7 linked regions of the Oryctolagus cuniculus genome follow. The protein of the gene in region 6 interacts with the protein of the main gene of each other region in a pairwise test. Links are inferred from orthologs where the notes say so. Each region holds a gene or a part of one and is shown on either strand. Other genes may lie near its edges. The genes, in order: UBE2D4, TRIM29, KCTD9, POLE2, NEDD9, TRIM27 and ABCF3.

Region 1 (4,046 bases), on a different chromosome or scaffold from region 6:
GAGCAGGGGTCAGGCAGGGGTCAGAGGTCACACAGGAGGGGGAGCTGGGGTGAGCAGGGGTCAGACAGGAGGGGGATGGGGGGTGAGTAGGGGTCAGGCAGGAGGGGGATGGGGGGGTGAGCAGGGGTCAGACAGGAGGGGGATGGGGGATGAGCAGGGGTCAGACAGGAGGGGGATGGGGTGAGCAGGGGTCAGACAGGAGGGGGATGGGGTGAGCAGGGGTCAGACAGGAGGGGGATGGGGTGAGCAGGGGTCAGACAGGAGGGGGATGGGGATGAGCAGGAGTCACACAGGAGGGGGATGGGGATGAGCAGGAGTCACACAGGAGGGGGATGGGAGTGAGCAGGAGTCAGACAGGAGGGGGATGGGAGTGAGCAGGAGTCAGACAGGAGGGGGATGTGGGGTGAGCAGGGGTCAGACAGGAGGGGGATGGGGTGAGCAGGGGTCAGACAGGAGGGGGATGGGAGTGAGCAGGAGTCAGACAGGAGGGGGATGGGGATGAGCAGGGGTCACACAGGAGGGGGATGGGGATGAGCAGGAGTCACACAGGAGGGGGATGGGGGTGAGCAGGAGTCAGACAGGAGGGGGATGGGGTGAGCAGGGGTCAGACAGGAGGGGGATGGGGTGAGCAGGGGTCAGACAGGAGGGGGATGGGGATGAGCAGGAGTCACACAGGAGGGGGATGGGAGTGAGCAGGAGTCAGACAGGAGGGGGATGGGGGATGAGCAGGGGTCAGACAGGAGGGGGATGGGGGTGAGCAGGGGTCACACAGGAGGGGGATGGGGGGTGAGCAGGAGTCAGGAGGGGGATGTGGGGTGAGCAGGGGTCACACAGGAGGGGGATGGGGGTGAGCAGGGGTCACACAGGAGGGGGATGGGGGTGAGCAGGGGTCAGACAGGAGGGGGATGGGAGTGAGCAGGAGTCAGACAGGAGGGGGATGGGGGTGAGCAGGGGTCACACAGGAGGGGGATGGGGGTGAGCAGGGGTCAGACAGGAGGGGGATGGGAGTGAGCAGGAGTCAGACAGGAGGGGGATGGGGGATGAGCAGGGGTCAGACAGGAGGGGGATGGGGATGAGCAGGAGTCACACAGGAGGGGGATGGGGGTGAGCAGGGGTCAGACAGGAGGGGGATGGGGTGAGCAGGGGTCAGACAGGAGGGGGATGGGAGTGAGCAGGAGTCAGACAGGAGGGGGATGGGGATGAGCAGGGGTCACACAGGAGGGGGATGGGGATGAGCAGGAGTCACACAGGAGGGGGATGGGGGTGAGCAGGAGTCAGACAGGAGGGGGATGGGGTGAGCAGGGGTCAGACAGGAGGGGGATGGGGTGAGCAGGGGTCAGACAGGAGGGGGATGGGGATGAGCAGGAGTCACACAGGAGGGGGATGGGAGTGAGCAGGAGTCAGACAGGAGGGGGATGGGGGATGAGCAGGGGTCAGACAGGAGGGGGATGGGGGTGAGCAGGGGTCACACAGGAGGGGGATGGGGGGTGAGCAGGAGTCAGGAGGGGGATGTGGGGTGAGCAGGGGTCACACAGGAGGGGGATGGGGGTGAGCAGGGGTCAGACAGGAGGGGGATGGGGGTGAGCAGGGGTCAGACAGGAGGGGGATGGGGGTGAGCAGGAGTCAGGAGGGGGATGGGGGTGAGCAGGGGTCAGACAGGAGGGGGATGGGGGTGAGCAGGGGTCAGACAGGAGGGGGATGGGGTGAGCAGGGGTCAGACAGGAGGGGGATGGGAGTGAGCAGGAGTCAGACAGGAGGGGGATGTGGGGTGAGCAGGGGTCAGACAGGAGGGGGATGGGGTGAGCAGGGGTCAGACAGGAGGGGGATGGGAGTGAGCAGGAGTCAGACAGGAGGGGGATGGGGATGAGCAGGGGTCACACAGGAGGGGGATGGGGATGAGCAGGAGTCACACAGGAGGGGGATGGGGTGAGCAGGGGTCAGACAGGAGGGGGATGGGGTGAGCAGGGGTCAGACAGGAGGGGGATGGGGGTGAGCAGGGGTCAGACAGGAGGGGGATGGGGGTGAGCAGGAGTCAGGAGGGGGATGTGGGGTGAGCAGGGGTCAGACAGGAGGGGGATGGGGGTGAGCAGGGGTCAGGCAGGAGGGGGATGGGGGGTGAGCAGGGGTCAGGCAGGAGGGGGATGGGGGGTGAGCAGGGGCCAGACAGGAGGGGGATGTGGGGTGAGCAGGGGTCTGGCAGGAGGGGGATGGGGGGTGAGCAGGGGCCAGACAGGAGGGGGATGGGGGGTGAGCAGAGGTTAGGCAGGAGGGGAATGGGGGGTGAGCAGGGGTCAGGGGTATGTGGGGTCTGGCAGGGGTCAGATGGGAGGGGGATGGGGGTGAGCAGGGGTCAGACAGGAGGGGGATGGGGGTGAGCAGGGGTCAGGCAGGAGGGGGATGGGGGTGAGCAGGGGTCAGGGGTAGGTGGGGTCAGGCAGGGGTCAGACAGAAGGAGGATGTGGGGTGAGCAGGGGTCAGGGGTATGTGGGGTCAGGCAGGGGTCAGACAGAAGGAGGATGTGGGGTGAGCAGGGGTCAGGGGCAGGTGGGGTCAGGCAGGGGTCAGACAGAAGGAGGATGTGGGGTGAGCAGGGGTCAGGGGTAGGTGGGGTCAGGCAGGGGTCAGACAGAAGGAAGATGTGGGGTGAGCAGGGGTCAGGGGTAGGTGGGGTCTGGCAGGGGTCAGACAGAAGGAAGATGTGGGGTAAACAGGGGTCAGGGGTATGTGGGGTCTGGCAGGGGTCAGATGGGAGGAGGAGGGGGTCAGATGGGGATGCGGGGTCAGGAGGGGGATGGGGGGTGAGCAGGGGTCAGACGGAGGGATGTGGGGTCAGATGGGAGGGGGAGGAGGTGAGAGGGGTCAGACAGGAGTGGGAGGGGGTGAGCAGGGGTCGGACGGGGAGATCGTGCAGTGGACAGTGGGCCCTGCCTCTGCAGCCCGGCTGTCTCTGCGTCTCTCGGGCACCATGGACACCGCCCAGGCACCTGTGAGTGCTGCTTCTCTGCCCTTGGGATCAGTGTCCCCTGCCCTGGCCGCGGTGCCTCTGGAGGCTGTAGTCTGTGAGCACGTGCCCCTCGCGGAGCTGTGGGCCTGCGCCGCAGCCCAGCCCCTGCGGGACCACCAGGGGGCACTGTGTCTTTGGCTGCTGTGCATCCTCACTATCTGAAACGTGCAAGGGCGTTTGAAGGCTGAGGCGACAAGGGGGTCTTCGACAGAGATAGGAACAGGAAGGCTGGGCTCCTTTGCGGGCAACATGTCGGACAGCAGCACAACCTCTGCCTAGACTGAAATTTGCAGTCTCACCAGGCTGACCAGAGTAAGCCACGCCGTTGGCAAGGGGCGGCGAGTGGGTTTTGTCTCTTGCCCTGTGGTGCCTCTGTCCCCTGCCGTAGCCCTGACTAGAGTTGTGTGTGGCCCTTTCCGCACCCTCCCTGTACTCCCAGGAGTGCTGCGCCTCCGGAGACCCAGTGTCGGTGTGAGCAGGGTGCAGGGGACTTCTGTGGTCACCCCTGCCAAGTCCCGTCAGGGTGCGGGGGCGGGGGGGGGGCAGGCACCTGCTTCCGTGCCGCTGCATCGTCCGGCTGTCGCTGTGGCGCTCTGACTGGGGTCCCTTATCTTTGCAGGTTGCTTTCACAACCAAAATCTATCACCCCAACATCAACAGCAATGGCAGCATCTGCCTCGACATCCTGCGGTCACAGTGGTCCCCGGCGCTGACCGTGTCCAAAGGTAGAGTGGCTCACAGCTGGCGTGTGTGTGTGTGTGTGTGTGTGCTGGCTGGGCAGACGAGCAGGCTCAGAGCAGTGGCTTTCCCTGACCACTCAGTGCCAGCCACCCCCGTGCCCACACGCCGGGCCCACCCAGCAGTTCTAGCAGTCGGTGCCATGAGGGGCTCCCAGTGTGGCCTGGTGTAGGCAGAATTGATTCTACTTGGACTTCCTGTCTAAAAATAAGAAAGCCAGATGTCACCTGGCCTTCGGTTCACCTCTCTGAGAAATCCAGTCTGAGGGAAGAGGTCCAAGGCCTGGCCCAGGGCCTCCACGTCA
Region 2 (4,750 bases), on a different chromosome or scaffold from region 6:
CTTCTTAGAGAGGGGGTTTCCCACCGCAGGAATCCCCTTGAGCGCTTGGGAAACTCAGCAGTGAGTTTAGAGGAGAGGAGAGGGGTTGCGATGGGGCTGCGTGCAGAGACCTCAGTTGGGAGGGTGTCTCTGCTGAGAAGCCGGCACTCCCCACCCCAGCACCACCCCATACACCTCCTTTTAAAACTCAGCCTGCTTTGTGAGCCAGGCTCGTCTCTGCCCGTGTTCCCAGGGGCTGTTATTGCAAAGGATTAGTTGTTCAGCCTTTGGAGCGAAGGGGTGGGCGGGCGGGGGGGGGGGCAGAGCCTGACCTAGATTCAAGGGGGAGGAGGGAAACCCACTCCCCTCCACACGGCTCAGAACCTGCCTCTCCGGCCGCACCCACTGTCTGCCCTGCCCTGTCCAGCCCAGCCTGGGAGAGATGCAGCCCTGAACTTGGTGCCAGCTGGCCAGGACCCTGGCAGTGGGTCCCCATCTGGATGTGCAAGAGCTAAGGGGGTGGGGGCGGGGGCAGGGGTGGCTGGTGAGGCCTTCCTCACCTTCCTCCCAGAGGTCTGATTTGGAGGGTCACAGCCACAGGGCTCAGTGCTGCGCCGACCTGAATGCCACACCGCACTGGCCTGTTTTGGGAGGGCATCACCCATGGCCTGGCCCAGAGGGGTGGGCAGGGTTTTCCTGAGTCATGTAGTGAACCTGCTATGGAGACAGGTGAGAGCTTGGCTCTGAGGACCTAACCACATGGCCAGGCGGGGCTTGGAGCCCCTTCATTCCTGGGTCTCTGTCTTTGGGATCCAAGCAGGTTCTGACCTGCCCTGGCAGAAACCCCCAAGGTCTCTGAGCTTCCTCTTGGGGTTGCAGGGCCAGGAAAGGTTCTTGATGAATCTCAGGGGTCTGGGGTTCAAAGCCAGCCCTGGCACTTGGCTTTGACCAGTGCAGTAGAGCTTTGGCTTCCTCATCTATTAGAAAGGGGCATCCCAGCTGCTGCCTCGGGGCTCAGATACTTTGTCTGGGAAGCCCTTGGGCCAGAGGCTCATCTTCTGCAGGCTCCCAAAATCTTAACCAACTCCTTCCCTTAAGGTGAGCAGTATCCTACTGTCTGTCTCCAGGTGGTGAATCTCTGCTCCGAAATCCAGGCCCACAAATTAATAGGCTGCTTTGGCCTGTGTGACCCAATTAGTGGCCCAGTGTCCTGTGGGCCGCTGCAGACACCTACCCTGTGCCCCAGGGGCCTCCGGCCCCACCGAGCCTGCCCAGCTCCCCGCGTCCCTGGTGACAAGCACGCACTTCAGACGGAAGCAGACCGACAGGTTGCTGAGTTGGGGAAAATAATTAAGCTGGGGAGAAAAAAAATCCCACTTCTTAAAAAAAAAAAATCCAGGTTAGTTATGAATGTGTGGGGCGTGGCCCTTGTGTAATTAGCCTCTCTGCTGGCTGTGGGAGCCGCCTGCTTCTCCCCGCCCGGCCCGTTGTGCCTGGCTGCTGGCTGCTGCTCCTCCCCGCCCTGCTCCTCCTCCCCCTCCTCCTCCCGCAGGTGTGTCTCCCGGTCCTGTGGCTGCCTGCCCCACTCCCTGCCCAGGCGCCCGCCAGCAAAGTCAGCTCCCCTGCAGCCCAGAGAGCCCAACACAGCGCAGCCCAGTGCCCCGGGATGGAAGCTGCAGACGCCTCCAGGAGCAACGGGTCCACCCCAGAAGCCAGGGACTCCCGCAGCCCGCAGGGCCCCAGTGGCGGCCTGGAGAACGGCACCAAGGCCGATGGCAAGGACGCCAAGACCACCAATGGCCACAGCGGGGAGGCGGCCGAGGGCAAGGGCCTGGGCAGCGCCCTGAAGGCCGCGGAAGGAAAGAGCGCCCTGTTCTCGAGCTCTGAGTGGCGGAGGCCCATCATCCAGTTTGTGGACTCCGTGGACGACAAGGGCTCCAACTACTTCAGCATGGACTCTGCCGAAGGCCGGCGGTCACCCTACGCCGGCCTGCAGCTTGGTGCCGCCAAGAAGCCACCGGTCACCTTTGCCGAGAAGGGAGAGCTGCGTAAGTCCATCTTCTCGGAGGCCCGCAAGCCCGCCGTGTCCATCATGGAGCCGGGAGAGGGCCGCAGGAACAGCTCCCCCCGGGCCGACGCGGGCCTCCTGCTGCGGTCCAAGGCGGGCTCCGAGGAGGTGCTGTGCGACTCGTGCATCGGCAACAAGCAGAAGGCGGTCAAGTCCTGCCTGGTGTGCCAGGCCTCCTTCTGCGAGCTGCACCTCAAGCCCCACCTGGAGGGTGCCGCCTTCCGCGACCACCAGCTGCTCGAGCCCATCCGGGACTTCGAGGCCCGCAAGTGCCCCCTGCACGGCAAGACCATGGAGCTCTTCTGCCAGACCGACCAGACCTGCATCTGCTACCTCTGCATGTTCCAGGAGCACAAGAACCACAGCACCGTGACGGTGGAGGAGGCCAAGGCTGAGAAGGAGGTAACCCACGGGGCCCTGGTCACCGCCGCGGGGGTTTCCTCCAGTGCCCTTCCCACTCTGCGCCCTGGGGATGGAGGCCAAGGGTGCTGCCTCCCCACCTCCAATCCCTGAGGCCTCAGGGGACAGGGTGTTTCCCAGATGAGCCTACAGAGGTTCAGAAAAGCCTGGAGGCTTGCTCATGGTGTCGGATGAATTCGAGTGTGGCCAGAGAGCGAGACCCCGCGGTGCAGAATCCACTCCCATGCTCCACCTGCCCAGGGTACATCTTCTCCCTCCACTCCTGCCTTTTTTTTTAAGGGAGAGAGAATTCCCATCTGAGCAGATCTGGCCCCTGGGGTGAGGGAAGATGCTAGAAGGAGGGAATTGGGGGGTGGGGGGCTGGCTCTGCACCTTGCGCAGTTAGTGCGGCAGCCTGAATTTCCCCACAGCCTCCTCTGTCCTCCCCTCAGCCAGGTCCTGTGTGCTTTGTGTGTGTGACGCACGTGGACGTGCCTATCCCTGTGGACTTGTGTGTGTGTGTGTGTTGTATGCCTGTGGGTGTTAATGGAGGTGCATGGATTTTTGCATGGCTTTGTGTGTGTGACGTGTGAGTATGCTTCCACGAGTCCCGTGCCTGTGACTGTGCCTATACGTCTGTGGGCAGGAGCAGAAGCAAGTGCGGGCTTGCGGATGCGGCACACCTGGGGCAGGCATTCTGGGCGAAGGGCCCCTGCAGTGGCTGCCACTCCCTGCCCCACAGATGCCAGCCCACTCGCCCTCACGGCTCCACATCTCCCTGCGGGGGCAGCCTCCCCAGGGGCACAGCTTCCCGGCAGCCAGCGCAGGGCACTCAGAGCTTCTGCGCCCCTCACACTGGGGCTGCCCGGGATCCCTCGCTGCCCAGCTTCCTGACCACGGGTGTGCTGGGGACTCCCTCCCTGCACCTCCCGCTCGGCTGCTGGGCAGGAGGCGTGAGTTAGAGATGGGAGCAGGCTCCCAGGTCCTCTCCAGAGCCTCATTTGGCGCAGCTCCCCTGCTCTGTGACCTCAACCTGGCTTTAAGCGTTATCCTGGGAGTCAGATGGGGAGGGGCCCTGGTGCCCGTTCTGAGGGAGCTCACTTCGGGGGTCCAGACACATCGAGGGCTGGCCATCTTCATCTCCTGCAGCCATGACCTGGCAGAGGCTCAGATGGGGCGTCTGGGGACGTGGCCAAGTCCCAGTTCTTGTTTTGCCTCTAAGTAGCTGTCGGATGATGGGTTCGGCTCTTCCCTTCTCTAAGGCTCAGTTTCCCGGGACAGGAAGCCAAGGGGCGGGGCGGTGTTGGTTTTCAGATTCCTCCCCAGGAGCCCTAGAATTCTTGGAAATGACTTTGAGGGCCCCAGGGTGTGGAGGGAGCAAAGAGGTGCTCAGAGGGCTGAGGCTCCAGGTGTCCACCTGCACCGCAAGCAAGGTGAACTCTTTTTTTTTTTTTTTAAATTTTATCTATTTATTTGAAAGAGTTACACAGAGAAGAGAGGCAGAGAGAGAGAGAGAGAGAGAGAGAGAGGTCTTCCATCGGATTGTTCATTCCCCAATTGGCCACAATGGCTAGAGCTGTGCTGATCTGAAGCCAGGAGCCAGGAACTTCCTCCGGGTTGCCCACACAGGTGCAGGGACCCAAAGACGTGGGCCATCTTCCACTGCCTTCCCAGGCCACAGCAGAGAGCCAGATCAGAAGTGGAGCAGCCGGGTCTCGAACCAGCGCCCATATGGGATGCTGGCACTTCAGGCCAGGGTGTTAACCCATTGCTCCACAGCGGAGGCCCCATGGTGAACTCTTGTTGCTCTCCTGTGCAGGATTTGGCCCCAGATTTGATCTCCATCAATGCTTCAGAACAGCTTGGGTGCCCCGAGTAGGTGGATCTGGGGGGCCGGAGGGTCTTGGGCCCCAGACTCAGAGTTCATGTTCTGATGCAGGGGCTGCTGTAGGAGCCCTTGCCCTTGCGGGCTCACGATGTAGGTCAGGAGGCAGAGCCCAGGCGCATAAACAAGACTGGGGCGCCCCCACCCAGTTACGCAGAACAGCTGTAGGTAAACATCCAATTGCTGGGGACAGAATGCTGGGCCCGCAGGAGGGTCAGCAATCATCTGGGTCTCCTCCCCCACCTGCAGGTGCAGGCGTGGGCCCAGGGGAAGAGAGAAGCCCCCCCACGTCCTTGTCCCAGGTTTGAGAGGGTCTCAGCACTGAGAGGGTGGGATTCTGATACATGTGCCTTAGGAAAGGGTGCCTGATCCGCTGGAGTCATTTAATGGTGAGAGCTTGGGGCAGCCTCTGTGTGCGT
Region 3 (4,046 bases), on a different chromosome or scaffold from region 6:
TTCATTTCTAAAAGTTGCTTTCCTTCGCCTGTAAAGGTCTGATTTCCTCCCACTATGCATATGTACCCTTACTGTTCAGGAAAGCTTTGCATATGTAGATATAGAAGAATAAGCTACGCAAATACTGAAGATATGTCATTCTCCCAAAGGAGACAAAAGTGGTTTTAAATGATTCATTGCCTCAAGGTGATGAGTCTGTAGAATTCAGAATCCATTTGGATACAGCTTATATTCCTATTCCTGGGCTAGACCTATGGACACAGGGTTATTGATGGGCAAGGACTGTCCCAATCTCTGTTGCTGCAGAGAGAACGATTCAAGAAAAATGGACTAAAATTTGTTAAAAACAAACAAAAAATAAGAAAATATAAGTAAAAGAACCACAGATGCTCACTGGAGTGACTAGAATTATATCATGGACCAGCCAAATGCCTTTATTTTTACTTATTAAATTTTGGGGGCAGCTATTATGTAACTGATAGTTAAGAATACTGCATTCCCCATGCTGGCTTAAGCCTTTTGCCTTCTAAAACGTGTCCCTGCAATACTCACTCATATTTTATAGCTTTGGCTGCAGTATTCTTGATTGCAGTATATTTCTAAGCTGATCCTGTCTATTTTGTATTTGAATTAAATGAATATTAATGATGCACCTTGGTTTTTTGGTTTTTGAAGTATCTTCTTCCTATGATTCTGTTGATTGTACATGAAAAAAAACTAGACTAGTAGTGTAAATAGAATTGCCTGGTCTGGTGTTGAGTGGAACTTGTCTAGAATGAAATTCTAAGGAATGCTTATTTAAAAGCTGAGGCTATTGGTAAATTCTTCCTTCATCTGGGGTGTTCCAATATACTTTCAGAATGTTAATGATGTACAATGGTATCTTTCCTTCCACTCTGTCTTAACCAGTAAGAATGGAATATTCCTTTAAATTAGCTACTATTTTGTTCTAAAAGTAAACATCATAAAAATGAACCTGAAAAGAGAGCCTTAGGGAATCTGATCTCACCATATTCATATGATGTGACAGGTATTTAAAGAGGGAGGCATCACTAAAGCTATTTATAAACCTGAACAACCTTTTCAAAGTTTTCATAAAATTTAACAATTTAAATATCCATACTGCATCTAGGTATTCAATAAATATAATTGCATATGTTGTGCTTTTCATAAATTAAAATCCTCAAATGCATCTCAAACCAAGATGGCATTTCCACATCATGCCTATTTAAAAGCAAATATAATAGATATTATTCCTGGTCATACAACCAGGCAACTCTCCCTATCCCACTCAAAAGGCAGCAATGCAATCTAATTTCCCTACATCTATTAAATGAGTGCTTTTCTGTTAAAATCAGAATGTGGAAAAAAGAGTAATTTTTTTCCCTTATGCACCGTTGAGAACAAGCATAACTGTCTAAATGGTTTTAAAATTCCCTTACAGTGCTATCTCTTCTAGACAACTGAGTGGGTACAGAAAGAAAAGTGATAAGGAAAACATCTTTCATCTAGGACATCTTCCTCCAGCCCCTGAAATCCTCATCTGACGCTTTGTGACATATGTAGTGGTGTCAGCATCTCTTCAAATATAGCTCCCTTCACATTGGAGCCTCTCAAGTTGGCTTCTTGAAGATCACACCCAGACAGATCACAATTCTATAAGACAGAAACATATTCACATAACTAGCATGAAGACTTATATTCTTACCTGTTTCTTCTCAAAATTATGTCTGTGAGATATTAAGACAACATTCTGATAGAATGAAACTCAGTTAATTTCTGGAAAATTTCTGACATATACCCTAAAGTCAGATTTTCTTCTATTAGCACAGGAATTTGTCAACCAAGGTGGTGCTCGGGCAGATGGCCACAAATGCAAAGATTAAAGATGAAGTGTGTCCCTTCTGTTCATGTATTTTAGAATCAGGCATTTAAAATGCAGAGTGGATATTGGTGCAATTAAGTATTATCTAAATAATTTTACCACAATCCAAGAACAAGAACAAGAACAAAAGGCATGACAAGGGGGAAAGCTATTGAAAGGAAATGTACCTAGTAATTAAATTGTACAATAGAGTTTTCTATTCCCTACCCCTAACATTTTTATAGCAAGGGACTGCCTTTTTTTGTTGCTGTTGTTTAATCCCAAATTTATGTGTACGAATCAATGAGTTTTGACAAAGGGACACAACAGTCTAATACACAAACAGGAGGTATTTGTTAATTTTTTTCCAAATCACAGCATTAAGATGAGATGAAGAATCTGGTGAAGTCCCCAGGGATGGTGGTGGTAATGGCTGAAGAAGAGTGATTATGTATAATCTTTTAAGAGGACAAATGTCAACAGCTACCCCTTAACAAGCAACTTTATCAATCTTTGCAGTCAGCTGAACAGAGACTTTTGCTTCTTAACCATATTGAATACATGGTAGCTGAAATCAAGGGAAAAAATACGACCTTAGGTATAATAACAAGTAATAAACAACTAAACAATTACATTCATAATAGCAGTATACTATCAGCCTTAGGCTAGTTCTTTTTGCCTTATTTAAAATGAAATACAGCTCAATAACTATATGTGGTAGTAACCAACATGCCAACCAGGAGAGGAATAGAATATGTCCCTTATGGCAGAAAGTGCTATTGGACACTGTTGATATAGATCTATCAACATCTTTCAAGTCTGCTAGCTACATTCACACATCAAGAAGACATATAGAATATAATTCTTATTAAAAAGATGACTGGACAGGGGTGGGAGTTTGGTTCTGCACTTAAAAAAAGGCTCAGCAGATTAAGCTACTGCTTGGGACACCCACATTCCATACCAGAATACCTCAGCTTGAGTCCTGGCTCCACTTCCTATTCCAGCATTCCTAGTAATTCGCACCCTGGAAGGCAGCAAGTGATGGCTCAAGTGCTTGAGTCCCTGCCCCTCATGTGGAAGACCCAGACTGATTTCATGGCTCCTGACTTCGGAATGGCCCAGCCCCGGCTGCTGTGGGAATTTGGGGAGTGAACCAGCAGATAGAAGCCTTGGGTGCCAAGTCCAGCTGCCTACTAATGCTAATGCATATTCTGAGAGGCAGTGGTGATGGCCCTGGTACTTGGATCTCTGCCGCCCAAATGGAGTTCTGGGCTTCCAGTTCGGCCCAGCCCAGCCTGGGCTACTGCAGGCATTTGAGGAATGAACTAGCAGATAGCATGATATCGCTCTCTTTTTTTTTTTTTTTTTTTGGACAGGCAGAGTGGACAGTGAGAGAGAGAGACAGAGAGAAAGGTCTTCTTTGCCGTTGGTTCACCCTCCAGTGGCCGCCGCGGCCAGCGCAACGCGCTGATCCGATGGCAGGAGCCAGGTGCTTATCCTGGTCCCAGGCCACAGCAGAGAGCTGGCCTGGAAGGGGGGCAACCGGGACAGAATCCGGCGCCCCGACCGGGACTAGAACCCGGTGTGCCGGCGCCGCAAGCAGAGGATTAGCCTAGTGAGCCGCAGCGCGGGCCCTCTCTCTCACTTTCTAAGAAAATACATAAAGGTTTCAAGTAGTTCAGGAAATAATCTGGCCTGTTTAATTTTGTTTCAAATTAAAAATTATGAAAAATATAGTAAATCAGAGTAATAAAATATCAAACTTCTCTACTTGGGGAAGAACCAAGGAAAAGGAGACAGGAAATCAAATCTGGAACTGCATCTGTGATCTGAGTAACTGAACACTGCTCTGGAATTCCAATTTGTTTAAACATGCAATTGAAAGGAAAACAGCCCTCCAGCTGTTTGGCATGTTATCTGGCAGTTTTACCAGCCAACTTCATTATGATTTCAATAAATTTTGCATGAGATACTCAGTAATTCTAGATGAACAAAAACTTTAAATGTTGCTGAACTCACCTCTAAGTCAGTTCCTGCCAGAGTTGCTCCTCTGAGGTTGCAGTTCTTCAACTTGGCGTTTTTTAAAGTAGCAACTCTCAGGTTAATTCCTGTCATTTGACTTCCTTCCATATCCACACCTTTCAGATTAGCACCTACAGCAAACATATTTTAGGATTTT
Region 4 (4,046 bases), on a different chromosome or scaffold from region 6:
AAAGATGTATTAAACTCTTGTGTTCACAAGTCAAGGAGGCATGAAAATTAAAAATCACTGGTAAAGGGCCAGTGCTGTGGCCCAGCAGGTTAAGCAGCCGCCTGCAGTGCCGGTATCTCATATGGGCACCAGTTCAAAACCCGGCTGCTCCACTTCCAAACCAGCTCCCAGGTAACACACCTGGGAAAGCAGAAGAAAATGGCCCATGTATTTGGGTCCCTGCACTCACATAGGAGACCTGGAAGAAGCTCTTGGCTTCTGTCTTCAGCCTGGCCCAGCACTGGTCATTGCAGTCATTTGGGAGTAAACTAATAGGTGGAAGATCTCTCTCTCTCTCTCTGCCTCTCCCTCCCACTCTGTAACTGTCTTACAAATAAATAAATAAATCTTAAAAAAAAAAACCTGACTTGTGAAAGTATTACTATGTTTGACATAAACAACTGTGTTTTATCACTGCTTATGAAGTATTTGCTCAGTCGGTCATATTTCAGTAGAAATTCCCAATGGCTTTAACATTATGAAATAAAGTTTCCATGTAAAAATTAAAGGTATCCCATTATAAGCTACGTTGAAGGGGAAAATACTCATGTAGATGCATTTTTCTAGAGTCATTTTACAGTCACATAGTCATACTTTACTAAAAGTAATGTAAGGAATTTTCTGTGTATATCACTTCAGTGTTTCATTAATTGCATGTTTTTACTCCAACAATACTTTCATTAAGTATTTTTTAAATGGAAAGAAATGTTCTCAAATCTTGACAAATAACAACTATCCCAGGTTAAGCACATTCTTACAGGGTTTATGCAGAGGCATCCAGTATTGGTCACAGTGAAAGGGTCATATTTGTCTGCGATGACAAGTAGATCAGGCACCGGATACACTCTCAGAGTATAATCATACGCCCAGTACACCGGGCTGACGTAAAGAGGTAGTGGGGTCAGATGGCCTTGGGATAACAGAGTCTTTACAAACTATGAAAGAAAACAAACTGCAGTTAATTTGTAAACATGAAAATAGCCAAAGAATTCAAATGAATATTAATTACCAACAGAACATGGAAAATTGAGAAACAATTAGGAAAGCTTCGAACCAGAGCACTTTGGGAAACACTGGTATCAAGTGAAAGGAAATATCTTCTATTTTAGGGACAAGGGTCTAGGGTTTTCATTTAATACTGTGAGCCATGAAAACAACTCCCTCAGGAGTCATACTGGATCAGTTGTATTTGTAGCTGTACAATAAACTATTTTATTAATTCTGTTGATTGAAAAATAACTTCATAGCTTGGGTGAAACCAAGGATCAATATTCAGGCTATGTAAATGAAATATTATGAAAGGAATGATGAAAATGTTCCACAGGCTCTAATCCCACACTTCTTAGATGTCCACACGTAGGCAGGGGTTGACAGCTCTATGATGGGGGAGGGAGTCTTCAGAATTTTATGGCAAGTGTGTGTCACGAAAAGACAAGTCAGAGATTTTAGATTTGTTTTGCACCAAAATCAACTTATCTTTGAATTCAGTTTTTCCACAAAATTTTTCAAGTACCCTTCTAGGTCAGGGACCACTGGCACTGCAAAATAAAATACTACACATCCGTGTAATCAACATAAATATAAACAGTTTATTTAAACAAATATATTTTGAGGTACAATTTAAGGGTTTTATAGGCAAAAAAAGAAAGCTCAAAAAAATATCTTGCTTGTGCCTGTCTCTCCTCTCTGGCCGGGAGTGGACAGTTTCAGTGGAAGGCTGAGAAACACCCCCTGGCTAGCATTCACAGCAGTGTGTACAAATGCTCTTGCACCACAAATAAACACTAACACAAGGACACATTACCCGTGACTCAACAAAATTTCATACAGTAGCGTGGAAGACAGCTTAACAAAGATGACTCTGTTACTTACGTGATTAGGAATATCCAGGTTGCTGCTAGGAAAACGCACACAGTTCCTGCACATTTTATTCACTAAGTCTTCACGAAAGACAATGATTTCTTGTGTACAATACTGAATCCTGAAATGAAAACAGCAGTTGAAGCTTTCTCAGAAAGCCGAGATCATCTTAAAGGCCAATGTCTCACACTACAGCGCCACCCACGCTCGTAGCAAGTGATCACGCAAAACTCAGTTCCTTACTGAATTCTCAGTATGTGCCTGGCGCTGTTCTAGGAGTGAACGAACAGAACAAAAACCCTGGCCCTCCTGCAGTTTATGATCTAACGAGGGGTGGCAGAGAAAGTAAACCAAAAACCTGGTATTTCTCCAGTGTGCTGGAAAATGACTACGTAATGGGAGAAAGAAAGGACAGGCTAGGAGGGCTCCCGTGGGAGACGGGGGACGGGGGACGTGCAGCAGCTTGGGGTATTGGGATGAAAATGGAGGCAGGGCTTACAGTGAGGAGGATGAGTGAGCCACGTGCTCACTGGTGCGAGGGCTTCCTCAGGCCCAGATCAGAGGGAGAACACGGAAGCCCGAAGGCTGGAGCACGCCCGGCACGCTGGAGGGCCAGAGGGAGGCAGGGCGGAGGGAGCAAAGGGTTGGAGGGGGAGACAGAGCTGACGGGGGCAGGGAACGCAAGGCCTTGCTGCGCACTGCAAGGACGTGGGCTGCTACTGAACGACCGCTCTCGGGGCCAGGGAGGGAGCGCGCTGCCGCCCTCACTCCGACGATGGCGAGAACAGAGTGCGGAGGGGAAGGGGTAGAAGGAAGAGACTGGGTAGGAGGCTTCACAGCACTCCAGGCAGCTGGTCACAGAGCGCGAGGCAGAGACGAGTGGCCGGATTCTGCGAATATTTTCAAGTCGACAGGACTTGTTGAGAAACTGCATGTGAGGAAAAACATCCAAACTGGAAGACAAAAGGTGCCATGGACTAGGATGCAACAGGCTGGTAAACGCGGTGCTGGCGGAGGAGGAAGATCAGAAGTTCATGGTCAAGGTGTCTACTAGACACTCAAGAAGCTGCGGGGTGTGCAGTGAGACACAAAGGCTGGAGAAAGGTCTGTGCTGGAGACAGAAATGTGACAGCTGCCAATACTGAGATGGCATTTAAAGCTACAGGAGTAGATAAACTCCCTGAAGGAGTGAAGATAGGCAGGAAAGAATGAACCAAAGACTGACCCTTAGGGTGTTCCCTCGGTAAAAGCCTATGATGACGTGATGACCACAACCAGTGACTATGCAATCTTCATGCTTCCACTGTAACTGTGCTTAAAGGACACATAAGGAGAGTATTTTTACACCACTCATCCAATCACTCAAGCATCAACATCATTATTAGTGAATTACTTAATATAGTTAAACTATGTTCAAGTTTCAGGAAACCTAAAGTAGATAAAAGGAATTTTCCTTTTGGTTTTATTCATTAACAGTCAAAAATCAGATATTAGAATTTTTGTGAATGATGTGGAAGAGACGGGCACCAGGAAGGTCCCCAAGAAAAAGAGGAAATAGTCCGCCAAGGAGGAAGGGCCTGAGGAGGCCGCCCCCAGCAAGAGCAGTGCCAAGAAAAAAAAAAAGCTCCATAAAGCATCCCAGGAAGACTGACAAGCACGGACATTCCCTGCACCTGCGAGGGGTACCCTTTCCCGCCCTGTGTCCTTGCCCCAATAAAAACATCACAAAAAAAAAAAAAAAAAAGAATTTTTTTTTTATATTTTAAATGAAAGGAAAAAAGCTTAAAATATGCTGTTATTTACCTGCAAGGATTAGTGGTAAAAACTGAAAATGGTACTCTCTGTCTGAATTCATTAGTGATGCTGTCAGCAAGTGGCGGCCTGTGAAAACAAGTTATTTACTACAGAACGTATTTTTACAATTTTATAAAACTTTCTAGATTTGCAGATACTTGAATCACACTTACCTTGGTAAGATGGAACCAAATCCAGGATCTTCTGGACCAGGTACAAACACAAAACGACTACTGCAACAAAATTCAACATAATTGATTAAGAAAAAAATACATACAGTAGCCTAAACAACAAATCTTTGCCTTTAAGGAGTTATGAATTTTTTTTTTTTTTTTTTTTTGACAGGCAGAGTT
Region 5 (4,477 bases), about 5.1 Mb from region 6:
TGTAGCTCAGGTTGATACAGAAGCCTCAGTCATCAAACACAAACACTTCTCTGTGTTTCATATTTTTGTGGAACCCCCATTCATACAAATGTAATTTAAGTTTTTTCTCTTGTTAGTCTATCTTATGTCAGCTTAATTCACAGACCATCCAATCAGTGAACCCACAAAGACAAACTGAGGCAGTTTTTCCTCCTCTAGATTATTGGTTAATGCCTGTTGCTCCTTTGGACTGTAGCTTATATTAGGAACACAGCAGCATCAGTTTTGGTCTCTCTTCCATAGGTGTTGACTTACAAAGTATTTTCACAGGATGAGAATTCTCTAGATCGTTGTTAAACGAACGAAGTCGTTAACACAAAGTGGAGCTCTAATTCAAGACTGACTACATATCCTTCACGTTCCATTACTCCACTTTGCCCCTTTCTTACAGTGAGAATGACCTTGAAAATAATAAGCTTGGAAGGAAATGACACCAGGGAGAAACCCATTTGACAGGTTCCAAGAATTTTGGACAATTTCTTTTCACACCCAATTCTGGGTGGCAAAGAAGGGCATTCCCCAAGCAGGGGCTAAACAGGCTAGGGCCCCCATTCTCAGCTGTCACTGATAACACAGGGAGAAGATTGCTCACTACCTCCACCTAGGTTTGTACTTGGTCTTTGTTTTGAAGCCATTTCATCATAAAAAAAAAATTGTCACAAATTTTTTGAGGAAGAAAGCCAGTTGAATGAATGACTGAATGAGTGAAATGAATAAAGGCAGAGAAAAGTAGGGGTGGAGCTATCAGGTAGCCAGTGAGAACCATAGTACAGTATGTCTCTGGTCCCGTAAAGGTGGTGCTGATAACCATTTCTCTACAGGACAGGGCCACAGGCACAGAACCCAATTCTCGGTCACCATTTCTTGCTCCCCAGAAAGGCTAAAAGTGATGTAAATGATTCTAATGCACTATAAAGTGTAAGTGAAAACCTTGAGCACTGGAATAATGTAGAACACGTAGAAGCTTGGTTCTACACAGGTAGACTCTCCTAGGTCAGCAGGAAGCGGGGAGGGGCCAGGCATTCACACACCAGGAAGCACCAACCCAGGATGATTTGCAAAGTAGAAATCTTGCGGGTTTAAAGTAGCATTAAAACCAGCTCGTCCAGGTCAATTTGAAGGAGACCTGGAGTCAATGATTCATCTACTGGAATTGTTGAAGCCCTCTCATCCCCAGCTCAGAGGTGTTAACAGTGGGGAACACCCCCAGCTGTCTGACACCAACTCAGGAAGTCAGAGTCGGGGTGAGCTCCCTGCACTCCCACCCCAGGCCACAGCAAGTGGCTGAGAACTCACCCAAGGGCAGAAGTCTGGGTGGCGGATTATCTCTCTGCTCCCTGGTGCTCTTGTCTTCTCTATGGGCTGGCAGAAGAGGAGAGCCAGTCCTGCTGCACGATTCTACTTCTCTCGCTGCAGCACCCCGGTTGGCTTCTCAAGGCAGCTGTCTGTAAGCATTTCCCCACTGAGCAACCGCATACGTAGGATGTGAGTGGCGTACGCCTGTGTGTGTTTTTCCTTCCGGTTGCTGTGAAGCGATGTTGTGGCAGCTCATTTCCTCTCTGGGGCTGATTTTTTTTTTTTCAAATGAGCCCTTGCAGTACACTGAGGGCGTGTTGCAGTTTAGGGACAGGTAAGAAATTTCATTCGTATCTGGCCCACTAGCTGTGTATATGAGTATAGAAAGATTGATGATCTTCAAATTAGTATTGCAATCAAATTCTACTGGGACGTATTTTTCTAAGTGGCTGGGCTGCATTGAGGCAAAATTAGGCTGTTTCAAAATCAACCAATTTGGGATTTTGTGCTTTTATGGACTTGGTATGTTCCAAAGAATCCACTATAAATTGACATGAAGCATTCTTTCATATGACAAGTATGTGCACTGCACAGGCCAATGCTAGGGGCAAGGCACCCAAGTGAGGAGGCTCCTATTTGCAGGGTGCATGGAAGCCTGGATTTGTGTACATGGAAGAGAGTTTGAAAGCCACCTGGCCCCAATCCATTGGTCGTCTTCTATCTGTGCTTTTGAGTAGCAGACAGGTGGGCAGACTCTGACAGCAAACACCCAGGTTTGAATTACAGTCTCCCCCTTAACTGCTCTTGCCTCAGTTTCCTTTCTGTAAAATGGGAACACCAGTAAAAGTATCATGAGATTTAAATGAGTGAGGACGTGTAAAACATGCAAAGAGTGTCTGGCACAAATAAAATAAGCACTATGTGGATGACAGTGTAGGTTAGAGTTATTAGTGGTAAATTAGTTGTTGTCAGCTGAGATCTCCGCTTTATTCTTTCCCTTTCTTATTTTCCAGTCCTTGCTGATGCCCAGGAAATGATGTGGAGTATAGAGAGTTGAGAGGAAAGAGAGATAATCTGAACAACAGATGTTTGTTTCCAAAATGACCCAGTGTGCCTGTTTCATCACCAAGGCAAGGAAAGGGCTGCCCCTTGGTCTCACCATATCAAACTAGGCTCATGCTGTATGTTGCTCTCCTGTGACTTCTGTTTCATTGATGATGTTGTTTTAATTTCCTATAAGGATTCTCTGAAATTCATTGCATGTCATATACTTCATAAGTTTTGAAAATTCATTGGGAGGTAGAAAGAGATGGATAGATAGACATAGAGAGTTCCTGTGTGCTGGTTCATTACTCAAATCCATATAAAAGCCAGGACTGGGCCAAACTGAAACTGGGAGCTGGCGACTCAGTCCAGCTGAGTGGCAGGGCTATAGCACGACTGGCAGGAATCTAACTACTGGAGTCATCCATCACCTGCTGCCTCTCAGGAGTCAGGAGCTAACATCAGTGTTGACCTCAGGGACTGCGATGTGGTACATGGGCATCTTAGCTGGTAGGCCAAATATCTGCTTCCAGGTCATGTATTTGAAAATGTTTGAACTAGTATGAATATCGCTAAAAATATTCTACCTATAAAAGGATGACACAGCTAAATAAAGAAATAAACACTCAATACTTTGTATGGTTGGGTCTTATGAAGTCATCAATCACAAGAACATTTATATTAATCATCATGCAGATAGTTCATTCATAAATGCAGTTAGAAATATTCATCAGCCGGCACCGCAGCTCACTAGGCTAATCCTCCGCCTAGCGGCGCCGGCACACCAGGTTCTAGTCCTGGTCGGGGCACCGGATTCTGTCCCGGTTGCCCCTCTTCCAGTCCAGCTCTCTGCTGTGGCCCGGGAGTGCAGTGGAGGATGGCCCAAGTGCTCGGGCCCTGCCCCCATGGGAGACCAGGAGAAGCACCTGACTCCTGGCTTCGGATCAGCGTGGTGCGCCAGCCGCAGCGGCCATTGGAGGGTGAACCAACGGTAAAGGAAAACCTTTCTCTCTGTCTCTCTCTGTCTCTCTCTCTCTCACTGTCCACTCTGCCTGTCAAAAAAAAAAAAAAAGAATAAAAAAGAAATATTCATCAAGGTGCTCTGTTTTCTTTTTTCTTCCCCTTCCCTCTCCTTTATAAAACCATTCTTGAATACATGTTATGTATCAGGAACTATTGCAGATGTGAGGTGGAATTGTTCTATTCCTGAGTTTTTATTTTATAGTGCAATATTTATAATAAATTGATGGAGGTAGAAAGGAAGTCTGGATAGTACATGTTTTTGTTTTTCAAAAACTTCTACACATTTCTCATTATACTATATCAGGTAGGGGATTGTCAGACGTTTGAACCTTATGTCTAATTTAAATGCATTTAAATGTAAAAATAATTTACAAGTTTTTCAAATTTCTTTTTATTTATTTGGGAGATGTAAGCGGGGAGAGAGAGAGGAGGGCAAACAGAGAAGGAAAGAGATGGATAAACAGACATAGAGAGCTCCTATCTGCTGGTTCACTTTCCCAAATGCCTGCAAAGCCTGGGGCTGGATTGGGTCTGAAGCCAGAAGCCAGCACCTCAATCCAGGTGTGTCATGTGGGAAACAGAAACCCAGTTACTTAAGCCATCAACACTGCCTCCCAGCGTCTGCATCAGCAGAAAACTAGAATCAGGAACCAGAATCTGGAACTGAGCCCAGACACTCTGATGTGGGACACAGGCATCCTAACCAGCATTTCAACCAACTGCCTGCCCTTCAATTTTATAGGATTCAAATATTAACACCATCAGGTTCTCTCCGTAAGTCACTGACACAGTATATCTGTGAAGGTATTTTCAAAGATTCATGGAAAAGTGGAATTAAAAGGTAAGTATATTTTGGTGGAAAATGTTTTGAAGTTCATGCCTAGCTTTTTTCATCATTATGCATGTTCCAGGGACATTTTGATGTCCTCTCATACTTAAAAAAAAAAAAAACCCTCATCTTAGGTTTCTTTTATATAAAGTACTTGAGTTAGACAATTTGATTATTCTCAATTCTGTTCTTCCATCTGCATGCTCATGGCTTCTTTTCCCACTTGGAGCTGCCTGGATCTCCCAC
Region 6 (4,689 bases):
CCAACCTACCCATTTCCCAGGTGAAGTGTGATAATCAAATGGCTAGTATGAGAGCCAAGACGCACATCCAGGTGGCCGGATTTCAGAGAACGGCTGTGTCTCCTTGTTGACAATCCTGCCCAGAAGACAATTTTTGTGTGCACTATGATTGAAGTGGACTCAGGTTCATGAAGAATATTCTTCATCCATGAAATCTCTTTTGAAAGTAAGGGGAACTGTGGTCTCAGCAGATTGTGTGGGCAGAGCAAGTGGTGGAATCTAAGGACACCTTAGGAATGAGCTCCCTGCTTAGAAGGGACACAACTTAGAACTGACACAATTTCTCTCAAGATTCCAGACACTGCTAGTCTAGGAGTTTGCTTTTCAGATGCAAACACCTCTAATGGTTAGAGGTCTGTAACATTTTATCTATTCCACTCACATTGTAAACACTTAGGTGGTAAATATGTAAGTGTATATGATAAAACCCTCTGTACTTTTTGTTTTTCTAAAACAAAACTCCAAAATACCCATATCAGAATTAGCACATCAGGTTCCTGCCAAAGCCTTGGAAGACTGCTCAAAGAAAACAGAGCGAAAAACTCTGTTTAGAAAGGGGAATGAACACTCCAGAAAGTCAACCAGTGGGGCTGACACAAATCCATCACCAGCACCTGTGAGAAGGATAGTGCACCACAGGATGCCAGCTAACTATTCTCAAGAATTTCACCTATCTCAAGTCTGCCAAACATCAGTCCTGGCCCACAAGCAGCTAACAAGCTAAACTTTACTGATCCAGCAGGTATCTATGACTCCCAAGCACAGCTCCTCCACCCTCTCCCCAAAAGTAGGGGAGCCCCTTGGTTCTCCAGGTTAAGTTTCCACTGCCACATGGGGTTGTTTCACTTGCAACTGGAAGAACTGAGCAAGTTGGCTTGACAGAAGCACGGACCAGCAAAAGCGCTATTATCTGGGAATTCCAAAAGCCCTTACCAGGAGTTCAGCGCGTGCCTGCTCCCCCTGCGCCCGGCGCCTCTTTTTTAAGTCTTTCACCCTTTTTAGATGGTCCAGCTGGTTCTGGATTTGTTCCTGAAAAAAAAAAAAAAAAAAAAAGTTGGGCAGGCCATAGTATAACCATGGCTGTTTTGCTTCCCCACAGACAGAAACTACAATTCTGATGCCAGGTGCCTGGTGCGAGCCTGTGTTCAGACCACACTACCATCCACAGAAGACTCAAAGCACAGGGGCCACCACCTCTCTTCTATGGCAATGTGTGCATTTCTTAAATGAATCCTCTACCCAGTTTAGCATTAGGGTGACTGGACTAGGAGATTTAAAGTCAAGTTGTAGACCTTCCACAGAGGTCCACTGAGAAAATGAAGCAACTTCTCTAATTCTCCTCATGTGTGACGGGTAAATACCACTTTCCCAGCCTATTCCAGTTACAAGGAGAGCAGGTGAAATGATGCAGTTAAAAGCTCCATGTTAGGTGACTATGCAGAAATGCATTCACTTTTAAACACGGACAAAACTGTGGGTATAATCCTGTAGCCCTCAAACACATAGCAAACAGACAACATCAAGGACGCCTGGAATGTCTCCTTAAAACTCTTTTGCACGTGATACTTTGTTTCCGTGTTATTGTTTTGCTGCCGCAGTCGGTTCAACAGTTTGCAAAAGGCTTTGCACTTCTTATCCCCTTAATCATAATACCTGTTATCTCCCGTGTCTCAGGATGGCGAAATGCCTTACTCAAGCAGTGGAGAAATGTGTTCCTTTCCATGAGCTTCTAGAACAAGACGGTTTACAAGAAGTGCTTACAGACTAAGTGACGGGCATCTGCCGGATGACTCGGACACCGCGGTCACCGTCCGAGCGGGTTTCCTCTATAATTTGGGAGCAGAGTGTCTCAGGAGCCTATTGATGTGTACACAGCTTTATGCACATCTTGTAGGGTGTCGGGTTTGCGGGTGGGGGTGGGGGAAGGGCTCCAGGGAACGTCTTTATGTCCATAGCGTCCGAGATCTGGGAAACACAGGGATAGGAGTGGGGGTGGGGTGGGGCGACTTCTGGCTTCCCCAGCAGCTACAGGTTTTCCTCCAAATCCGAGTGCGGAGGCTCGGGAGCGGACAGAGAGGAAATGACGGCTGTGAACCACACGTCCGGCTCAGCCATTTTCTAGGCAAGGAAAAAAAGGGGAAGCCCCCGTGGCTCTCCCCTCCCTTTGTCCGCCTCGCTGCGCGCGCGCCGGGGGGGGCCCTCACCTTGAAGCCCTCCACCGCCTCCTCGAGCGGCAGCACGCTGTGGCCGCGGTGCTCGCGGGAGCGGTCGCACACCACACAGATGGGCATCTGGTCCTCCTCGCAGTACAGCTTCAGCGGCTCGCGGTGCTTCTCGCACACGCCCATCTCGCCGCCGGGCCCGGACGGCCTCTCGGTGCGCAGCTGCTTCACCAGCTGGGTCACGTTGGCCAGGTGCCGGTTGGGCCGCATGTGCCGCTGCGGAAAAGTCTCTCGGCACTGCGGGCACGACACGTTCGTCTCGGCCGAGCCCCAGCAGCGGGCGAGGCACGCGCAACAGATGTTGTGGCCACAGTCGAGCATCATGGGCTCGACGAAGTACTGCAGGCACACGGGGCAGGTGGTCTCCTGCTGCAGGCACTCGGCCACGCTCCCGGAGGCCATGGCGCGGGCTGGCGGGGGCGCACGGGCATGGGCCCCCGGCGCCGAGCTCTGCGCGGAGCCCGACTCTCCGGCGCTCTCTCCGGGTCGCTGCTCGAGCCGGGCGGGCGGAGGGCGGTGCCCCTCGGGCCCGGATTCCCTGGGAGGCTCCGGCGGCCGGGCAGCTCGCTGCCCTGTTGTACCCTTTGAACGAGGCCCGGAAGGCTGCCTCCCGACGGAGCCCCGCGGCTACGCGGGTAGGGGGGCCAGGCGCGCAGCGCCTCGGGCCGGATTCACAGGGGCAGGCGCGCCAGGCGCGCAGGACAACGTGGCTGCGTCCAAGCGGATCCCGCAGGCCGCGGAGACCCCGCCCCGGCGCGACCGGAAGAGGCGGGGCGGCGTGGGGCGGGGCTTGCGGTTCTTGGCCTCGGGGCCTAGCTGTTTCCTGCCGCGGAGGGCGGCTTGGCTGGGCGCGCGCCCCAGGGCGGGACGGGTCGGGACGGGACCTCCGAACCGGGCGCTGAGGACCCCTGGTCTTTTGTGAGGTTTTCTTTGGGCGCTCAGGCCTTAGCCCTTGCCAGAGAGGGCTGGCTTTGTGTAGGACTGGGAAGCGCAGGCCCTGAGGCTAGCGGATGGGGCTGCAAACTGAGCTGCATCCGGTACGTGACGCACTTTGTTAAGCAGAGCCATCATTTGCTGCCGCTCGCCGTTTTGTTTAGGGGGAAAAATGGGTGTATTTATCATTCTGAAACATTTCCGCAGGGAGAAAAACCGCGAGCCTAGTTCTGCTACTCCCTATCTCTGCTCATGCAAGGTGTTTTACCATTCTGAGCCTCAGAATCGGTATACCTCAGCAAGAAGGTAGACTTAATCGTTTAATTTTTGAGCCGTAAGGATGTTTATCCGTGAAAACCGCAAAATACCCACGGCGTAGGGTTGTTGTATTGAGCGGCACCTGAAAACCTCTTGTTCCTTTCTGAAGTTCAGAGTGCGAATCCCACAGTGCCCCGGGGTCTTGGAATCCCGGGCTGTCTGTTCTCTTATCACACAGTGGATTTCCCGTCATCCCTACTTGGTATTTGCTGGTTTCCTTGGGATTTTTCTCAGTGTGGTTTTGGGTCTCAGCAGTAGGGCCTCTGCTTCCGGAACTTCTGTTTGGAGGGATCCGAGAGGCGAAGTGGACATGCCAACCCCAAGCCCACGTCCTCTGAACCACACTCTGAGTACCCAGTCTGTGAAATTCCAGACCCCAGTAACCCTAGCCCACTTACAAAAAACGTAGAAATATTGGGCGGGGCCATACTGTTCGGAGAGTCCATTAGACCTAAGGTATTTATGCATATTTGTGCAGCTTCTCTCCTCTCTTATCTCTCTTCTCATCTGGCTGAAAAAATAATAGGAATGCCGCAAAGGTACAGTGCTTAAAGTAAGAATAAGCTGACAGATCGATGGGACAGAATGGAAATTGAGAAATAGACTAAAATGTTGGTAAGAATTTGGTATCATGTAGAGGAAAAATCAGATTGGCTCTAAAAGTTCAATAAATGATCCTGGAACAACCGGGAAGGTGTTGGGGGAGGGGAAGACTACTTTTTATTTTTACAGATTTATTTATTTATTTGAAAGCCAGAGTTCTTTCTCAAAGAGACAGGGACAGAGACAGATATTTCATCTGCTGCTTCGCTCTCCAAACAGGCGCAACAGCAAGGGCTGGGCCAGGCTGAAGCCAGGAGCCAAGAGCTTCTTCCAGGTCTCCCATGTGGTTGCGGGGGCTCAAACAGTTGGACCATCTTCCACTGCTTTGCCCAGGCAGATTAGCAGGGAGATGGATCAGAAGTAGAGCAGCTGGGACATGAATCAGCATCCATATGGGATGCTGGCAGCTTAAACTGCTGTGCCACAATGCCAGCACCGTGATCTCACGTCTTAAATCAGTATGTTCTAGATCACTGAAAAGATTTAAATTAAAAATTCATAAAACCCCTACGAGAAAACCTTATTTAATAATAATGCTTTTAATCATCTAGAAAATGTTCCTGAACATGAACTC
Region 7 (3,520 bases), on a different chromosome or scaffold from region 6:
GGACATCCTGCTGGGCTGCCTACACTCAGGCCGATTGTTTCTTCCCCTCCCTTGCAGGGCGGAAGGCTCTGAAGCTGCACAGCTGGCAGAAATCTATGCTAAACTGGAAGAGATTGAGGCAGACAAGGCACCTGCCAGGTATTTAAAAGTTTCCCTGCCTTCCAGTTTGACTTTCCCCTCCTGTGAGTTGTTCCAGCGGGGTTCTCTGATGTCTTCACTTCTAGGGCATCGGTCATTCTTGCTGGGCTCGGCTTCACTCCTAAAATGCAGCAGCAGCCCACCCGGTGAGTGGCTCTTGCCATTCCTGACTCTTGAGCGCCGTTGGCCCTGCCCTGATGAACACCCACCCCTGACGTGGCTCTTTCTTTAGGGAGTTCTCGGGTGGCTGGAGGATGAGACTGGCCCTAGCCCGGGCCCTGTTTGCTAGGTGAGTCTCCTGGGCCCTGTGTATGGAGCCCTGTGGACAATGGGTCTTGGCTCTTTGAGAGGTGGCATTTGAGTCCCTGACCTGCATACGACCTTATGCCATGTGTTCTTTTTCCTAGGCCGGATCTTCTGCTGTTAGATGGTGAGCCTGAAATGGATGCTCCTGACTTTGGGATGAGGAAGGGTGGTAGCGTGTAGGTTCCTAGTTCTCTAGCCCCTCAGTCACAAGGGTGTGCTCCCCACTTCTTCTCCAGAACCCACAAACATGTTGGATGTGAGGGCCATCCTATGGCTGGAGAACTACTTGCAGGTGAGGGCCTCCAGACCCTGGTGTGGGTTCCGGGCAGGTGTGCTGGTGTGGGTTCTGGGAACTGACTGCCCTCCCAAACTGGGCCTGCCATCCTGTAACCCCCTCAGACGTGGCCCTCCACAATCCTAGTCGTCTCCCACGACCGCAACTTCCTGAACGCCATCGCCACAGACATCATCCACCTGCACAGCCAGAGGTTAGACGGTTACCGCGGGGACTTCGAGACCTTCATCAAGAGCAAGCAGGAGCGGCTGCTCAACCAGCAGCGGGAGTACGAGGCCCAGCAGCAGTACCGCCAGCACATCCAGGTGTGTGGGGCTCCCACAGCGTGCATGTCAGGAGTTGGGGGTAGTGAGAGAGCCTGACCAGTGCCCGCGCTACTCCTACCTCCCTCCCCCACAGGTTTTCATTGATCGCTTTCGCTACAACGCCAACAGGGCCTCTCAAGTGCAGAGTAAACTCAAGATGCTGGAGAAGCTGTGAGTACTGTGTTCCCAGCTGGGCCCTGATCCTCATGTCCTTGTCTCTTCCCTCATTTTGCAAGCCAGCCCTCGCCCTCCCACACTAGGCCTCCGTTTGCCAGAAGCCACCTTTGCCTTCTCCTGCAGGAGAGCGGACGTTCTGTATTGCTCTTGCAGAGTTCATCTTGCCTGGGCAACCACGGATCTGCTTCCTGTCGCTGTTTGCTTACTCTGGACATTTCATTTAAACGGAGTCATAAACATATAGCCCTTTGTACCCGATTTCTTTCACTTAGCATCATGTTCTCAAAGGTCATCCATGTTGTGTTGTAGCATGGATTAGTACTTCATTTACTTTTTATGGCTAAATAATATTCCATGTGTGTGTAGGCACATTTCGTTCAGTAACTTATCAGGGGCTTGCCTCCATTTTGCTTATTATGAATAATGCCATTATGAACCTTTGTGTAAAAGTTTTTATGTGGACATATGCTTTTAATTTGCTGGAGTGCATACCCACTAGTGGGTTTTCTGTATTACTTGGTAATTCTACATTTAGCTTTTTGAGGAAGGGTCAGAGTATTTTCTAAAGGAGCCGCAGTGGTTCACATTCCTTCCAGCAACGTAGGAAATCTCCAGTTTCTCCATATCCGTGCCGCTAACTGTTCTAGTGGATGAGAAGTGATAGTTTGTTGTGGCTTTGATTTGCACTTCCTTAATGACTAATGATATTGGGCGTCAGGGATTTAATCTTGAAGTGAATGGAGCTTAAAATCATAAGGCTGAGAGCTTTGTGACGGGGGAGTATACACGTGGTCCACCCTGAATGAGGACACTCATGTTTGGCAGAGTGCAGTGGACTAGAAAAACGTCCTTCTCCATGGGTTATGTGTGGTGGGAGCGTAAGCCTTTTCTGAGTTTTCTCTGTGCAGGTGCTGTTGTGCAAGAAGAACAGATATTTATTTTTAATCTTTTTAAGGATTTACTTATTTGAAAAGCTGAGTGACACGAGGCTAGCACTGTGGCACAGCAGGTTAAGCCGCAGCCTGCAGTACTAGCATCCCACATGGGCACCTGTTCGAGTCTCGGCTGCTCCACTTCCGATCCACCCCTCTGGGAAAGCAGCAGAGCTAAAGCACTTGGGCCACCCTCCGCTGCTTTCCCAGGCTCGTTAGCAGGGAGCTGGCTCAGAAACGGAACAGCTGGGACTCAAACCAGGGCTTTGATATAGAATGCCAGCAGCACAGGCTGCAGCTTAACCACTGTGCTGCAGCACTGGCCCCAGTGGTGGTTTTTAAAGTCGTAAGTTTGTGCACCCATCTCTCCCCTCAGACCGGAGCTGAAACCCGTGGACAAGGAGTCAGAGGTCGTGATGAAGTGAGTGCTGGGCCCGAGGGACCGGTGGGAAGCTCTTGTTCCCGGCCACCTCCACGGCCCTCACCCCCGCCTCCTGCAGGTTTCCTGACGGGTTTGAAAAGTTCTCCCCGCCGATCCTGCAGCTAGATGAGGTGGATTTCTACTACGACCCTAAGCACGTCGTCTTCAGCCGTCTCTCCGTCTCTGCTGATCTCGAGTCCCGCATCTGTGTGGTACGTTTGCTGTGTCCCCGCCCCGTGAGCTGGAGCTCTGCTACCCCAGCCTTCGTCGGTACGGCTTGGCCCAGACCCGCAGGCCACAGAGGGAGGGTCTGTGTAGGGGTGGGAGAAGCCAGGGCCTGGGCTGAGGACTCCGTGTGTCGCTGTTGCCGGTGCCCTTCAGAGACGCTGAGCCTGGTCGTGCAGCACTTGATGGATTCTTAGAGCTGTACCTCCTCTTACTGCTCTCAGGTCTGAGTTCTTTAAACCGTGGGGCTTCAAGGGTGTGGCCTGGCCTTGAGGGTCAGACTGCGCATCCTGACTGCTGTTTCCTAGCTCAGTTACCAGGCAGCTCCCTCATCCTTAAATGGACATGACGTCTGCCTCGCTTGGTTGTTGGGAGCAGTCAGTCCCCAGCACTTAGCAGGTACTCGGGTATTGGTTCCCTTTCTGGCTTTACTTCGTTTCTGCACAGTTCCTTGAAACTGTGATGTTGCTTGTTGAGGCGGTCATTGGGACAGGCCGGGACACCGTCTCGCATCGGTCCCTTCTGTGGTGCGCACACGCGTACTCCAGCAGCTCGCGTTTCCGCAGGTTGGGGAGAATGGAGCTGGGAAGTCCACCATGCTGAAGCTGCTCATGGGGGACCTGGCACCCGTCCGAGGCATCAGACACGCTCACAGGTCAGCCTCCCTGCCTGCCTGCGGATGCTGCCTACAGACCTTCGTGGTCGTTGCTTTCCATGCCCT

The links.
Region 1: the proteins of TRIM27 (region 6) and UBE2D4 interact in a two-hybrid assay, tested with the Homo sapiens proteins (2 studies listed by BioGRID and IntAct). The link is inferred for Oryctolagus cuniculus from reciprocal best matches to the Homo sapiens genes TRIM27 and UBE2D4.
Region 2: the proteins of TRIM27 (region 6) and TRIM29 interact in a two-hybrid assay, tested with the Homo sapiens proteins (2 studies listed by BioGRID and IntAct). The link is inferred for Oryctolagus cuniculus from reciprocal best matches to the Homo sapiens genes TRIM27 and TRIM29.
Region 3: the proteins of TRIM27 (region 6) and KCTD9 interact in binary tests that used the Homo sapiens proteins (3 or more experiments, as listed by UniProt). The two-hybrid records come from large-scale screens. The link is inferred for Oryctolagus cuniculus from reciprocal best matches to the Homo sapiens genes TRIM27 and KCTD9.
Region 4: the proteins of TRIM27 (region 6) and POLE2 interact in binary tests that used the Homo sapiens proteins (3 or more experiments, as listed by UniProt). The two-hybrid records come from large-scale screens. The link is inferred for Oryctolagus cuniculus from reciprocal best matches to the Homo sapiens genes TRIM27 and POLE2.
Region 5: the proteins of TRIM27 (region 6) and NEDD9 interact in binary tests that used the Homo sapiens proteins (3 or more experiments, as listed by UniProt). The two-hybrid records come from large-scale screens. The link is inferred for Oryctolagus cuniculus from reciprocal best matches to the Homo sapiens genes TRIM27 and NEDD9.
Region 7: the proteins of TRIM27 (region 6) and ABCF3 interact in binary tests that used the Homo sapiens proteins (3 or more experiments, as listed by UniProt). The two-hybrid records come from large-scale screens. The link is inferred for Oryctolagus cuniculus from reciprocal best matches to the Homo sapiens genes TRIM27 and ABCF3.

The regions. Positions count from the first base shown.
Region 1 is NC_091447.1:51,540,787-51,544,832, forward strand, and holds part of UBE2D4 (ubiquitin-conjugating enzyme E2 D4), read left to right. Parts: intron 1-3,623; coding exon 3,624-3,729; intron 3,730-4,046. UniProt on the Homo sapiens protein: Accepts ubiquitin from the E1 complex and catalyzes its covalent attachment to other proteins. In vitro able to promote polyubiquitination using all 7 ubiquitin Lys residues, but may prefer 'Lys-11' and 'Lys-48'-linked polyubiquitination.
Region 2 is NC_091432.1:112,617,906-112,622,655, reverse strand, and holds the start of TRIM29 (tripartite motif-containing protein 29), read left to right. Parts: upstream 1-1,521; 5' UTR 1,522-1,645; coding exon 1,646-2,449; intron 2,450-4,750.
Region 3 is NC_091433.1:48,762,265-48,766,310, reverse strand, and holds part of KCTD9 (BTB/POZ domain-containing protein KCTD9), read right to left. Parts: intron 4,021-4,046; coding exon 3,887-4,020; intron 1,657-3,886; coding exon 1,540-1,656; 3' UTR 1-1,539. UniProt on the Homo sapiens protein: Substrate-specific adapter of a BCR (BTB-CUL3-RBX1) E3 ubiquitin-protein ligase complex, which mediates the ubiquitination of target proteins, leading to their degradation by the proteasome.
Region 4 is NC_091443.1:26,401,707-26,405,752, reverse strand, and holds part of POLE2 (DNA polymerase epsilon subunit 2), read right to left. Parts: intron 3,927-4,046; coding exon 3,867-3,926; intron 3,781-3,866; coding exon 3,703-3,780; intron 2,021-3,702; coding exon 1,912-2,020; intron 975-1,911; coding exon 798-974; intron 1-797. UniProt on the Homo sapiens protein: Accessory component of the DNA polymerase epsilon complex. Participates in DNA repair and in chromosomal DNA replication.
Region 5 is NC_091436.1:159,198,001-159,202,477, reverse strand, and holds the start of NEDD9 (enhancer of filamentation 1), read right to left. Parts: upstream 3,073-4,477; 5' UTR 1,336-3,072; intron 1-1,335. UniProt on the Homo sapiens protein: Scaffolding protein which plays a central coordinating role for tyrosine-kinase-based signaling related to cell adhesion. As a focal adhesion protein, plays a role in embryonic fibroblast migration.
Region 6 is NC_091436.1:154,135,615-154,140,303, forward strand, and holds the start of TRIM27 (zinc finger protein RFP), read right to left. Parts: upstream 3,009-4,689; 5' UTR 2,664-3,008; coding exon 2,244-2,663; intron 1,069-2,243; coding exon 973-1,068; intron 1-972. UniProt on the Homo sapiens protein: E3 ubiquitin-protein ligase that mediates ubiquitination of various substrates and thereby plays a role in diffent processes including proliferation, innate immunity, apoptosis, immune response or autophagy.
Region 7 is NC_091435.1:93,768,641-93,772,160, forward strand, and holds part of ABCF3 (ATP-binding cassette sub-family F member 3), read left to right. Parts: intron 1-57; coding exon 58-138; intron 139-224; coding exon 225-284; intron 285-370; coding exon 371-427; intron 428-545; coding exon 546-568; intron 569-680; coding exon 681-736; intron 737-843; coding exon 844-1,044; intron 1,045-1,138; coding exon 1,139-1,215; intron 1,216-2,529; coding exon 2,530-2,574; intron 2,575-2,653; coding exon 2,654-2,786; exon of another isoform or gene 2,787-3,198; intron 3,199-3,365; coding exon 3,366-3,454; intron 3,455-3,520.